Caenorhabditis elegans: one gene and its partners. The protein of the gene in region 1 purifies or fractionates together with the protein of each later gene. This does not show direct contact. Each region holds a gene or a part of one and is shown in the gene's direction. Other genes may lie near its edges. The genes, in order: pat-10, R10E4.3 and unc-85.

Evidence for each region.
Region 2: the proteins of pat-10 (region 1) and R10E4.3 fractionate together in Caenorhabditis elegans (co-fractionation; one large-scale study listed by BioGRID). This does not show direct contact.
Region 3: the proteins of pat-10 (region 1) and unc-85 fractionate together in Caenorhabditis elegans (co-fractionation; one large-scale study listed by BioGRID). This does not show direct contact.

The regions. Positions count from the first base shown.
Region 1 is NC_003279.8:5,018,218-5,021,799, reverse strand, and holds pat-10 (EF-hand domain-containing protein), read left to right. Parts: upstream 1-1,713; 5' UTR 1,714-1,736; coding exon 1,737-1,739; intron 1,740-1,807; coding exon 1,808-1,859; intron 1,860-1,909; coding exon 1,910-2,016; intron 2,017-2,423; coding exon 2,424-2,579; intron 2,580-2,629; coding exon 2,630-2,797; 3' UTR 2,798-2,818; intron 2,819-2,873; 3' UTR 2,874-3,017; downstream 3,018-3,582. Other genes in the region: C46H11.6 (PDZ domain-containing protein), read right to left, coding at 25-218, 710-923.
Region 2 is NC_003281.10:4,285,420-4,289,176, reverse strand, and holds R10E4.3 (uncharacterized protein), read left to right. Parts: upstream 1-1,697; 5' UTR 1,698-1,704; coding exon 1,705-1,878; intron 1,879-1,988; coding exon 1,989-2,270; intron 2,271-2,317; coding exon 2,318-2,423; intron 2,424-2,892; coding exon 2,893-3,150; intron 3,151-3,218; coding exon 3,219-3,316; 3' UTR 3,317-3,336; downstream 3,337-3,757. Other genes in the region: DNA replication licensing factor mcm-5, read left to right, coding at 55-325, 372-793.
Region 3 is NC_003280.10:4,700,532-4,703,876, forward strand, and holds unc-85 (putative histone chaperone asf-1), read left to right. Parts: upstream 1-1,537; coding exon 1,538-1,649; intron 1,650-1,698; coding exon 1,699-2,165; intron 2,166-2,213; coding exon 2,214-2,364; intron 2,365-2,433; coding exon 2,434-2,531; 3' UTR 2,532-2,688; downstream 2,689-3,345. Other genes in the region: scc-1 (Sister chromatid cohesion protein 1), read left to right, coding at 1-266; F10G7.9 (C3H1-type domain-containing protein), read right to left, coding at 2,953-3,095, 3,226-3,320. UniProt on the Caenorhabditis elegans protein: Histone chaperone that facilitates histone deposition and histone exchange and removal during nucleosome assembly and disassembly.

The DNA.
Region 1 (3,582 bases):
ATGTCGATTTTTCTTCAATTATACCTTTTCAACTTCAATAACAAAGCACGTATTGTCCCGTCTCAAAACACATCCCGATTTCTTCAACCGTTCTCTGGTCGCTGGGATAATATTTTTCCGTCTTGTAACCTCAACACTACATGTTTCACCTTTCATGAGCTCTGTCTGATACTTGGATATATTTCCACTGGCACCGTTCACCTTGACTATTTTGTCGCCTGAAAGAAAAGTATTTTTAATCTAGTTTTTTAAACTGGTTTAATACATTAATTGGAAAAGTGTAAAGTGGAAAAGAAACTAGGGAGTCTTCCGAGGAAAATTGACTTTTCCTGGCTCAAAATGTATAATTGTGGACAGAAGAGTTTTGAAACCCTTGTACCAGTCAAACCAATTTTTGCCTATTATTTTATCGGGGATAAATATACATTTGTTCGGCAAAACATCACAACTTCATAGCAAACTCTTGCAACTTGAAACAAACATTTATAAACAATTGCCAAGAGATGTTACAAAGTTGCAAAAACCGGAGCAGTTCTAAGCGAAATGTTTCATAAAGTTTGCCAAAAGAAATTGCAAGAGTCATCTGAAAAGCTGCAGAAATTTGTTAGAAAACTAAAGTAAATAATGGTTTGTAAGAAGTTGCAAGATTCTGTTATGAAGTTGGCCCGCTTCAAAATAGTTTCGGGTTATCCGGCCGTTGGAAACTTACTCAATATCAATCCATTGTAAAACGAGTTTGTTGATAGGAAAGAAACCATCGAATTCTCATTAATTCTAATAACTTCATTCGCAGGCTTTCCGACATCTTTTTCATCAATCTTGAATGAAACTGTCATATTTACAGTTTCCACATTCTGTGGGATCGGTGTCAGCCAACATTCTTTCATCTTTTTGTTCGTATTCTGCACTTTTTTCTTCGACATTCTTCTTCAAAAGAAATAACGTTTTCCGAAGTTACTTGTTAGCTCCAAACTCACGATTATGGTTTCCTTTTGAAATCCGGAAATTTAGTGTCAAATGATAAATAAGAATGATTAGAAATCTACCTCCTCCCCCTCGACTAAACTGAATTGGAAAAACATAAAGTTTAAATTCAAAATGGTGTGTCACGCGATAAAAAGTTACTGGAGAAACTTGAGAATTATAAAATAGTATTCAAATTAAACGTTTGATATAAAACTGTAAAGATATACATACTCAGTGCACATTTAAAAAAACTGAAAAAAAAACGTTGTTGTGTTCTGAAGCCCAAAAAGGCTAGATGTTCTGGTCACCATGTACAGCTAAGAATCCAAGTATTCTGGGAAAGTTCAATTACATATATTGCCTGTCAACTCCATTTCTGTACTTAATTCTACTCCAATTATATTATTTTTTTTCTATTTCCTGGACTTTTATTGATCCTTGGTTGCCTGTCCCCCCAATCTTTCTTCGTACTCTCCTCCCGTTTCCCCTTCCTTCTCGGAGAGCCTTGTCTCTCGAATCCTGTGTTTCGCAAAAATCATCGTCAACTTCCACACAGATATCATTCTGCGTCTCTTCGCCCTCTATGATCTCTCATGCCCGTTGATCAGGAGCATCTGTCACCCAGTGTAACACCAAGAATGTGTTTTGTGGAGGAGACGATGATGCCGTTGTGAGAAAGAAAAGCCCGCCCTCGGGTTCCTCCGCCTACTCGCTCCCGCCGTTGCTTCTGCCCGACGAAGCTTATCCAGAGCACAACAAACTCCGACAACATGGTGAGTCCCGCTTTCTCATGTCTTCAATAAATTTCTTTTTGAATTTTTATATGTTTATACTTTTATAGGCTGAGGATATCGAAGAGATTCTTGCTGAAATCGACGGATCCCAAATTGAGGGTAAGATATTTTATATTTATGATTGAAAAATCATCATTAAAACTTTCTAGAATACCAAAAGTTCTTCGATGCCTTCGACAGAGGAAAGCAAGGATACATCATGGCCACTCAGATCGGTCAAATCATGCATGGAATGGAACAGGATTTCGATGAGAAGGTAAATCATTTTGGAACTTTTGGTTTATGTAGAGTTAGGGGATCTTCAGAAGAGTGATAATTCAAATTAGGAAGTTTTCAACTCTTTTAAATTTAGGTTTCACGGTAATGATTAGGTAGGCCAACTGAGTAAGATAACCGAAAATATAAATGGGTTACTCTTGCCTAAAATTTTGTTTTTATCCGACCTATCTTCTGCGGCTTGTTTCTCAACTGAATTCAATTAATTTTCGCCACTAAAACATGTTACTAATGTTTGTGAAATAATTAATTTTGATATTCCATCTGAACAAAAGCATTTATTATGTCGACTAAAGTAAGATATAACTATATGTTATGAAATTTAGTTATAGAATTGATGATTTTGATTTTTCTAAATCTATGTGGCATCTAACTTCATTCTTTTAGACCCTTCGTAAACTGATCCGCAAGTTCGACGCTGACGGTTCCGGAAAGCTCGAGTTTGACGAGTTCTGCGCTCTCGTGTACACCGTTGCAAACACTGTCGACAAGGAAACATTGGAGAAAGAACTTCGTGAAGCTTTCCGTCTTTTCGACAAGGAGGTTTGTACTTTTAGATTTTGCTTTTTATTCTTTAATTATTAATTTTTCAGGGTAACGGATATATTTCTCGACCAACTCTGAAGGCTCTTCTCAAAGAAATCGCCGATGACCTCACCGATCAACAACTCGAGGAGGCTGTCGACGAGATTGACGAGGACGGTTCCGGAAAGATTGAGTTCGAGGAGTTCTGGGAGTTGATGGCTGGAGAGTCTGATTAAATTTTCTAATTCCTTTAAAATGTAAGTGTTCGAGCTTTTTTTGATTTTATTCAAAAACTAACTTTTTATTTTTCAGCGCTGATCTACAATCTTCAACTGTGGGGACCAGTCACCAACTTTTCATAATTTCCTTTTTCTTGAAATGTTAAATTCATTTCACTTTTTATTAATTTTCTTGTCATTCTTTTGAATGAATAAAAATGAATAAAAGTCTTTGTACATCCACAGGCTTATTGGAAGAGTGTGACCAATTTGAAACGGCCAAAATCAGGAAATAATCAGAAGAACTAGACTTCTCAAATCCTTTAACACAACATCAAATCCGCAGTATAGTGCTCCGTTTTCTCTTGACCTAAAAAAACGGGAAAAGTCCATCTACGGGGAATGGAATGACAAATCTCTATAAATATAGAGATTCACCGTTGCAACCTTGTTGTTTGAAAGTGAAGTGTCTCTAAATAGAATGAAAATTATGAAAAATGGAAAATGTATTAAATCACTGCAAATGAGACCTCTACTCTGCGGCATTACAGTTTTTACCGTTTTAGCGCAACAGGACAGTTTTTGTAAATTTGCAAAAGTAAAGTGACAATTCTCTATGTAGATTTTCTACGAATGAATTTCAGGATACTTGTGAACTTGCAAAACAGTTTTTCACTATTTCAATTGTTCCAAATCTAAATTCAACAAATCCCTCTCTTTTTCTCTATCTGTGCTCAACTCTTTTCTATATAAACTTAGTGTAACATAGGCTTTATCTTTTTCTATCCACTTTCCCACCAATA
Region 2 (3,757 bases), on another chromosome or scaffold:
GATTTTTTTGCCCAATAATTCTAAATTTTCAGCTTTAATTTTGAATATTTTCAGACCCTCGCGAAGCACGTCATCGAAGTTCATGTGAATGCATCTGCTGCTAAAGAACGTGATATTGCAGGAGTCCCAAAAACAGCCACAACTGATTCAGATGGTGTGATGACAATGTTCGATACGGATGGTTTCTTGACTATCGAGTTCCTCAAGAAATTCGTCACATATGCTCGTTTGAACTGTGGACCACGTCTTACTCCGCAAGCTTCTGAGAAGCTCGTTAATCACTACGTTAAGATGAGAAATCCAGTTGTCAATGCTGATGCTTTTAGTAAGTTTAAAATATCATTTTGTAATGAAAACCCATAAATTTTCAGAATCAGGAAAGAAGGCTCATAATTCGGCAATTCCGATTACCGTTCGTCAACTCGAAGCCATTGTTCGTATTGCTGAAAGTATTGCAAAGATGGAGCTTCAGCAGTTTGCCACTGACAAGCACGTCGAGGAAGCGCTCCGTCTGTTCCGTGTTTCAACAATTGAAGCGGCGGCAACTGGAAATTTGGCAGGAGTCGAAGGATTTACTTCAACAGCTGATCAAGAAGCATTGAATCGTATCGAAGTGCAAATGAAGAAGAGATTCGCAATCGGTACACACGTTTCTGAGCATTTGATTGTTCAAGACTTTGTTGCTCGTCAACATTATAGAGAGTCTCTTGTCAAGAAGGTTATCGATAATTTGGTCCGTCGTGGAGACTTGCAACAAAAGATGCAACGCAAGATGCTCTACCGTGTTCGATAAATTCTCAAAATTTTGTCTTTTTTATCTGGATCTCTTTCTCATACTCAATTCTTAACATATTTTCTCATTCAATTTGATTTTAAACTGTTCTAAATTATTAAATGAACGTTTGCTTTTTCGAAGACCTTGAAAAATAATCAAATTCTAGTTTATGATCGTGTCAAGAAAACACATCAGAAGATTTTCACCGCTCGTTTGCTAAATGATGGCATGCCTGCTTAAAGGAATATTTTTCCAAAGTTCTTCTTGAATAATTTGATTTTTGGCAAATGCCCCAACAATGGTGAACTTACTCAAGAAAATTTACTGATTCACCAAATAAACAAACAAAAATCACTTTAAGCCGAGTGTGAGGTTGGTAGCAGTAACTGAAAATTGTGGAAACCTAACCTAAAGGTAGTCTTCGACATAAGTTTCATTTGGAAGTCCGGGATTAGGTTGAAATACTTCCCTTGTAGCTAAGTACGGTATTATTGCAGGAGTACTGTAGGATTTGCGTAGTTTCGGAAAATTTGAATTTGAAAAAATGTTGCTATTATTAGGTTAGGGTTGGTGGTACTGTAGGGTTACTGTAGTTTGGGAAATTTAAATTTTTAGCATTTAACATGGGCCGAGAGTTGAGATAATGGCGAGGGTTTTGTGGGATTGCCTGGGTAGTTTGGGATGCATTTTAGCTTTTGAAGCGGATTTGAATATTTGGTTAAGATTTTGTGAAGACATTGTCGAACGAATACAATTACAAACGACACTTTTTCATATTCAGGTTGAAATGGAAATTCATAAATATTTATAGCTAAATGTTTAAAAAATAGATAAAAATTATATTTTTTCAAAATAAGAAAAGGACACGTTTTTTTTCTAAAATGTCCAATTTCAAAAAAAACCAAAAATTGATTTATTTTCTATCAAAAATGACATCGGCGTCGTCGCAAGAGGAGGACGGAAGCGAAGAAGATGAACATTTTAAGTCGATATTATTAATAATCATGTTTGGCGCACAATTTGTTTGCTTCTTAATCGCATGGTTTTGGTTTTACCCGAGAGACGAACCACCAAACAATCAAATAATGCATAAGTTGGAAAAGGTATTCGAAGATTTTCTTTCAGGCTCGTAAAATTTAATGTGTTGTGTCTGTATACTACACAGAAATGAAAAAGTGTGCAACCACCGTTCGAATATAATTTTTAATTTCAGGACACTGCAAAATCTCGAATAGCTGGAGGCACAGTTCGTCCGATCAGCCGTCTCACTTCCCGAGAAATCCGCTTTTTAGCTCATCATGACACGTGTCATGAACGTGGCTTTGAGCTGACAGAAGACGATAAAAAGTTGTTGAAACTGGCAAAAGAAGGGGAAATCAATCATTTGAAGCATGTATCCAAGTTATTCGATGATCTGACAATGAATTGTGGCAGTATAATTGTTAAGCGAGGCGCTTCGATAGAAACTAATTTTAATAATGAGACTATGGAACAGGTATTCATGAATTTTCTGATTGTTTTGGGCAATTAAATTATTTTCAGTTCGACAATGATGAAACTGCTGGAATTGAATATTTGGTACCGTTGAAACGATCGAAGGAAGAAAAGGAAAAGAAAAAGAAGAGGAAGACGAAAGAAAGAATGGATGGTAAGTTACCATATATTTTAATTTGCGCGTGAAATTATGTGCATTGAGTGTTTGCACACAATTCATGTGCAGACACACCATATTTCAAGAGCAAGTTCAAAACACATATAATTGAAATATGGAGCATGTTTCGATGCACAATATTACGGGAACAAACAATATCTCGGAGCGAAAACTACAGTAATTCTATAAATGACTACTGTAGCGCTGTCGATTTACGGGCTCATTTTCGATGATTTATGATTTAATTCATTTTGAAATTCGAGCCACGAGAGTAAATCGACACAATAGCTACAGTAGTCATTTATAGAATTACTGTAGTATTCGCTCCGAGATATTTCGCGCGTCAAAAATGTTGCGCAGTACGCATTCTCAGAGTTTTGTGTTTCCGTAATACGCGAGTGTGCGATTTACGCGGAAATTTGGTTTAATTGAGGTTTGATTAAGAAATTTGAAATTCGAATTCCAGCCCTGGACGAACTGACACGTGTCACTTCAAACGATCGAATTCCTCTGTTGTCTCGAATAGTTCACCACAACCAACCATCACGAAAAACACTGAAGCCAGCCACATCAACAATCCGTGAACGAACACTTGAAACTCAGTCAACGATGGAAGATGATAAAACACAATTAAAAGTGATCAGAAAACCATCGTCTAGACCACACAAGAAGCCATCCACAATGGAGAGTGCTGTGAAAAAGAAGAAATCGGCGGCAACGTTAAGTAAGTTGGGTTGAAATTTGACGGGCTCCTCTTCATTCGTATTCATTTATATGAATAATTTTTTGCAGAAACTGTTCGTAAAACGACACGGGATGAGCTGTCACTTGCAACAACGCTCGAGGAAACAACACGAAGCAAGAAAAATCCGTTGTCAAAGGAACCCTGATTTAATAAAAATTATTTTAAAACATGTTTTACATTTGGGCCTGTTTAATACCTTGTAGCGTGACAAGCCTGTAAAATATGGCCGTACCGATAAATTGGCAATTAGTCTTTCCCGTCTCTATTAGTATCGAACTTTTTCTTTTAGATGCTCCGCACTATTATTAACTCCAAAATACTTCAAATTTCTTTGATTCTGCGAAATTTTCTAATTTTATTATTTATTAAGAAACCATGAGTTCTTGAGAATGTCTACTTTCTGGCGCAAAAATGGCGGCAGCAGAGAGAACATGCAGCGACGAGAGATTTAGGAGCCTTCGCTACGAGATATTCCCGCGCCAAAACGGTAGGCATTCTCATGATCTCACGGTTTCTTAATAACTGTGTTCCCATTGTTTGTATTCTAAAGTTCTTGGAGTTCAAAAACCTGCAGAAATACTCAAAC
Region 3 (3,345 bases), on another chromosome or scaffold:
ATATTGAGACTTCGGGACAAGCGGACTTCTCATCTGTCACAGCAACTGCCAAGAATCGCAAGCAAGCTGCAGAGCAATTTTATTCGTTGCTTACCCTGGCCAAGTCTCAAGCAATAAGTGTTGATCAATCAGAGCCATACGGAGAGATCGTAATTCGTCCAGGAGCCAATTTCAAAGAAGCATGTCCACTGAGCTCTCCGAAACCGATGGGACTTGGAAATACAATGGAAAATTCCACTATGAGAACCCCAATGAGACCAGTTTAATCGTTTTAGCTTATTATTATTACTCGCCATGCATAGTTTAACCTCTTCATTGTATATGGTATCTCGATTTTCTTAAAAGCAAGTATTATTTTTATTCCACGATTATTCATATACGGATATTATTTTTGCGGTATTATTTGTTCGAAAAGTACGAATGTACTATCTTTTTCTGTAAATAAAAAGCATCACGGTTTTAATGTTCTTGTTAATTGCTCAGGTTCCGATTAGTCGAGAGAAGAATAGCGAAAAAAAAAAGATTAACTCGGCTCTACTCAACTTCAACGTTTCCGTGTACAATTTCATTCATTCCATCTAGTTTCAAGTGATTTGAGATTCGCTTTCTTCGTATGAAAAAATGACTACATAATTATGAAACTTGGTGAATTTCATCTACAAACGCGTAAACGTTATTAAAAAAGCTGTTAAAATCTGGAAATTACATTTTTCCATAACTTTCAAGACAGGACACTCCGCTGCATTAGAAAATGTCTTCGAGACTAAATGTACGGATTTTACTAAATTTTGAGGCAATTCCGAATAATTTTTGCATTTCAGGCCCACCGTGAAACATTCACGAGGGTACGCGCAGAAAGAGAAACGCAGAGGGGGTACGTTTTCGTAAGGGGATTTTTTCGTAAGGAACGCTTTCAGTAGGGCAATGTGCGGCGCGCCTTTTCGCAAGCCCGCCGCACAGTCCTTCGCAATCGATTCGAAATCGATTGAAACCCGTTTTTGTCATCGAAAATTCTGAAAATATCCGTATTTAGCTCGAATAAAACTAATTAATTTCCATTAAAAATCCGTTTTTAATTGAATTCCGTTCGAAATTTCCTGTTGGAAAAATAAATAAATAAATACGAAGAAGCGTGCGGCGCATTGCAAAAAGCCGTGCGGCGCATTGCGAAGGACTGTGTGGCGGGCTTGCGAAAAGGCGCGCCGCACATTGCCCTACTGAAAGCGTTCCTTACGAAAAAATCCCCTTACGAAAACGTACCCCCTCGAAACGCAGAGAACAAAATGCAAGCGCGCTCCACCGGTACGCGCCAATCGCCACCATTTTAACTTACATAATTGCGGGAATTTTTGATTTCTCATTTTTTCTCATCATTTGCGGATTCATTTTTGCAATTTCATTTACCTAAAATTGATACACTTTTTGTTAAAAATGATTTTTTTTTCAGTTTTATTTTGTTTCATGCCAATACTGTTGTGAATTGTCTTTTATTTTGAAAAAGTGGGCTCCTAAATAATTAATTATATTTTTCTTTCAGATGGCTTCCCGTGTCAACATTGTTCAAGTACAAATTCTCGACAATCCTGCGATGTTTGTCGACAAATTCAAGTTGGAGATCACATTTGAAGTTTTTGAGCACTTGCCGCATGGTAAGAAAGAGGAAAATATAAACTCATCGATAATAATGATAATTTTCAGATCTCGAATGGGAATTGGTCTACGTCGGATCCGGAACATCCCGAGACTTTGACCAAGTTCTCGATTCAGCGCTCGTTGGTCCAATTCCAGAAGGACGCCACAAGTTTGTGTTCGACGCGGATCATCCGGATATCTCGAAGATCCCAGTCGATGATATCGTCGGTGTCAGCGTACTTCTCCTGCGCTGCAAGTACAACGATCAGGAGTTTATCAATATGGGATGGTTCGTGGCAAATGAGTACACCGAGGAAGAGCTCAAAGAGAATCCCCCATCGCAGCCACTCATCGAAAAGCTTTCCCGCAAAGTCGAAACTGAAGATCTTCGCATCACCACATTCCCGATTCGCTGGACTGATGAGGATCCGGTCGCAGAGCCTGTCGAGGATGAGGCTAACAGAGTATTCGCGGAAGATGACCTCATGCCTCTGAATGATGATGGCCAGGAAGATGACGATGAGGAGGAAGAGGTGAGAAAATGAATTTTACTTATTCAAAAATTAAATAATTTTATTCAGGATGATGACGAGATGGAGGCCAACGCTGAAGAAGTGGATTTGAACGAGAGCTTCAATGAACGATTGGCCAATGCACTTGACGGGGCCGAACAGAAAGGCGCAGATGAGAAAATGGAGGACGATGGAGCAAATGAGGATGTTGATATGGCTGGTAAGTGTTACTTGGTTTCTCTAACCCCTTCTTGTTTCGTGATGTGTGCTTCTCACCCTGTAATTATAGATGACGAGCCTGGCGTTCAGATCAACACTGACACGAAAGTTCCGGAATCGATGGCGGAGCCACTCTCAGACAAGACAAACAACGAAATGGTCCAGTGATTTCACTTCCAGTTAATTTATATATTTTGAACTTATTTTTATTCCCACCCGATTTTCAGTGACTGTCAAAAATTCACATAATTCGTTCTTTCATTTTTTTTCTTTTCAAGAATTTTCACTTTGAATGTTTTCCGAATAAAACTGTACAGTGTCATTCATTCAATGTTTTTCTTAAAACAAACAACTGAATTATATAAAACTGGTTTATTGTGATTGTACTATATATATAATACACCGGAGTAAAATAAACAGGCAAATTGATATGACAGTTTGAACGTCAGCTTGATTTGTAGAGATCACACCGTTTCAGTAAAGAAATTGATTTAAAAAGAAAATAACTGGAATTTTTAAAAATGTCTAGCGAGTTCTACTTTTGATTTTCCTCGATTTTTACTACATCCTATCCATTTTCTCGTCCGGTTCATCGCCGATTGGCGAAAAAAGCGAACAACTTGCTTTTGTATTCTGGTGTCTGACGAATGACCACATTGAAGAATTGATCCATTAGCTTTTCAAATTCTCGGAATTCCGGTAGAAAGTGCAATGTTTGTTTGACAGCCGGCTCTGAAACGGGCGAGGATTACGGTAGCTACGGGTGACCTGAAAAGTTAGATAATCCTCCAATGGGACGAGTGGGAATCAATGAAAGACACGGGGGGAAGTATAACAGAGAATAATCGGCGTGTAGAAGAACCTATGTCGGATTCGTTGTATTTAAAAGCTTCGCGGAATAGGCCTTCGAGAAGTTGTGCTTGTTGTTCAGCATCAGTAACGTCGTGAAGATGAAGACTGAAAAAACTTTTGTTTAATAAAC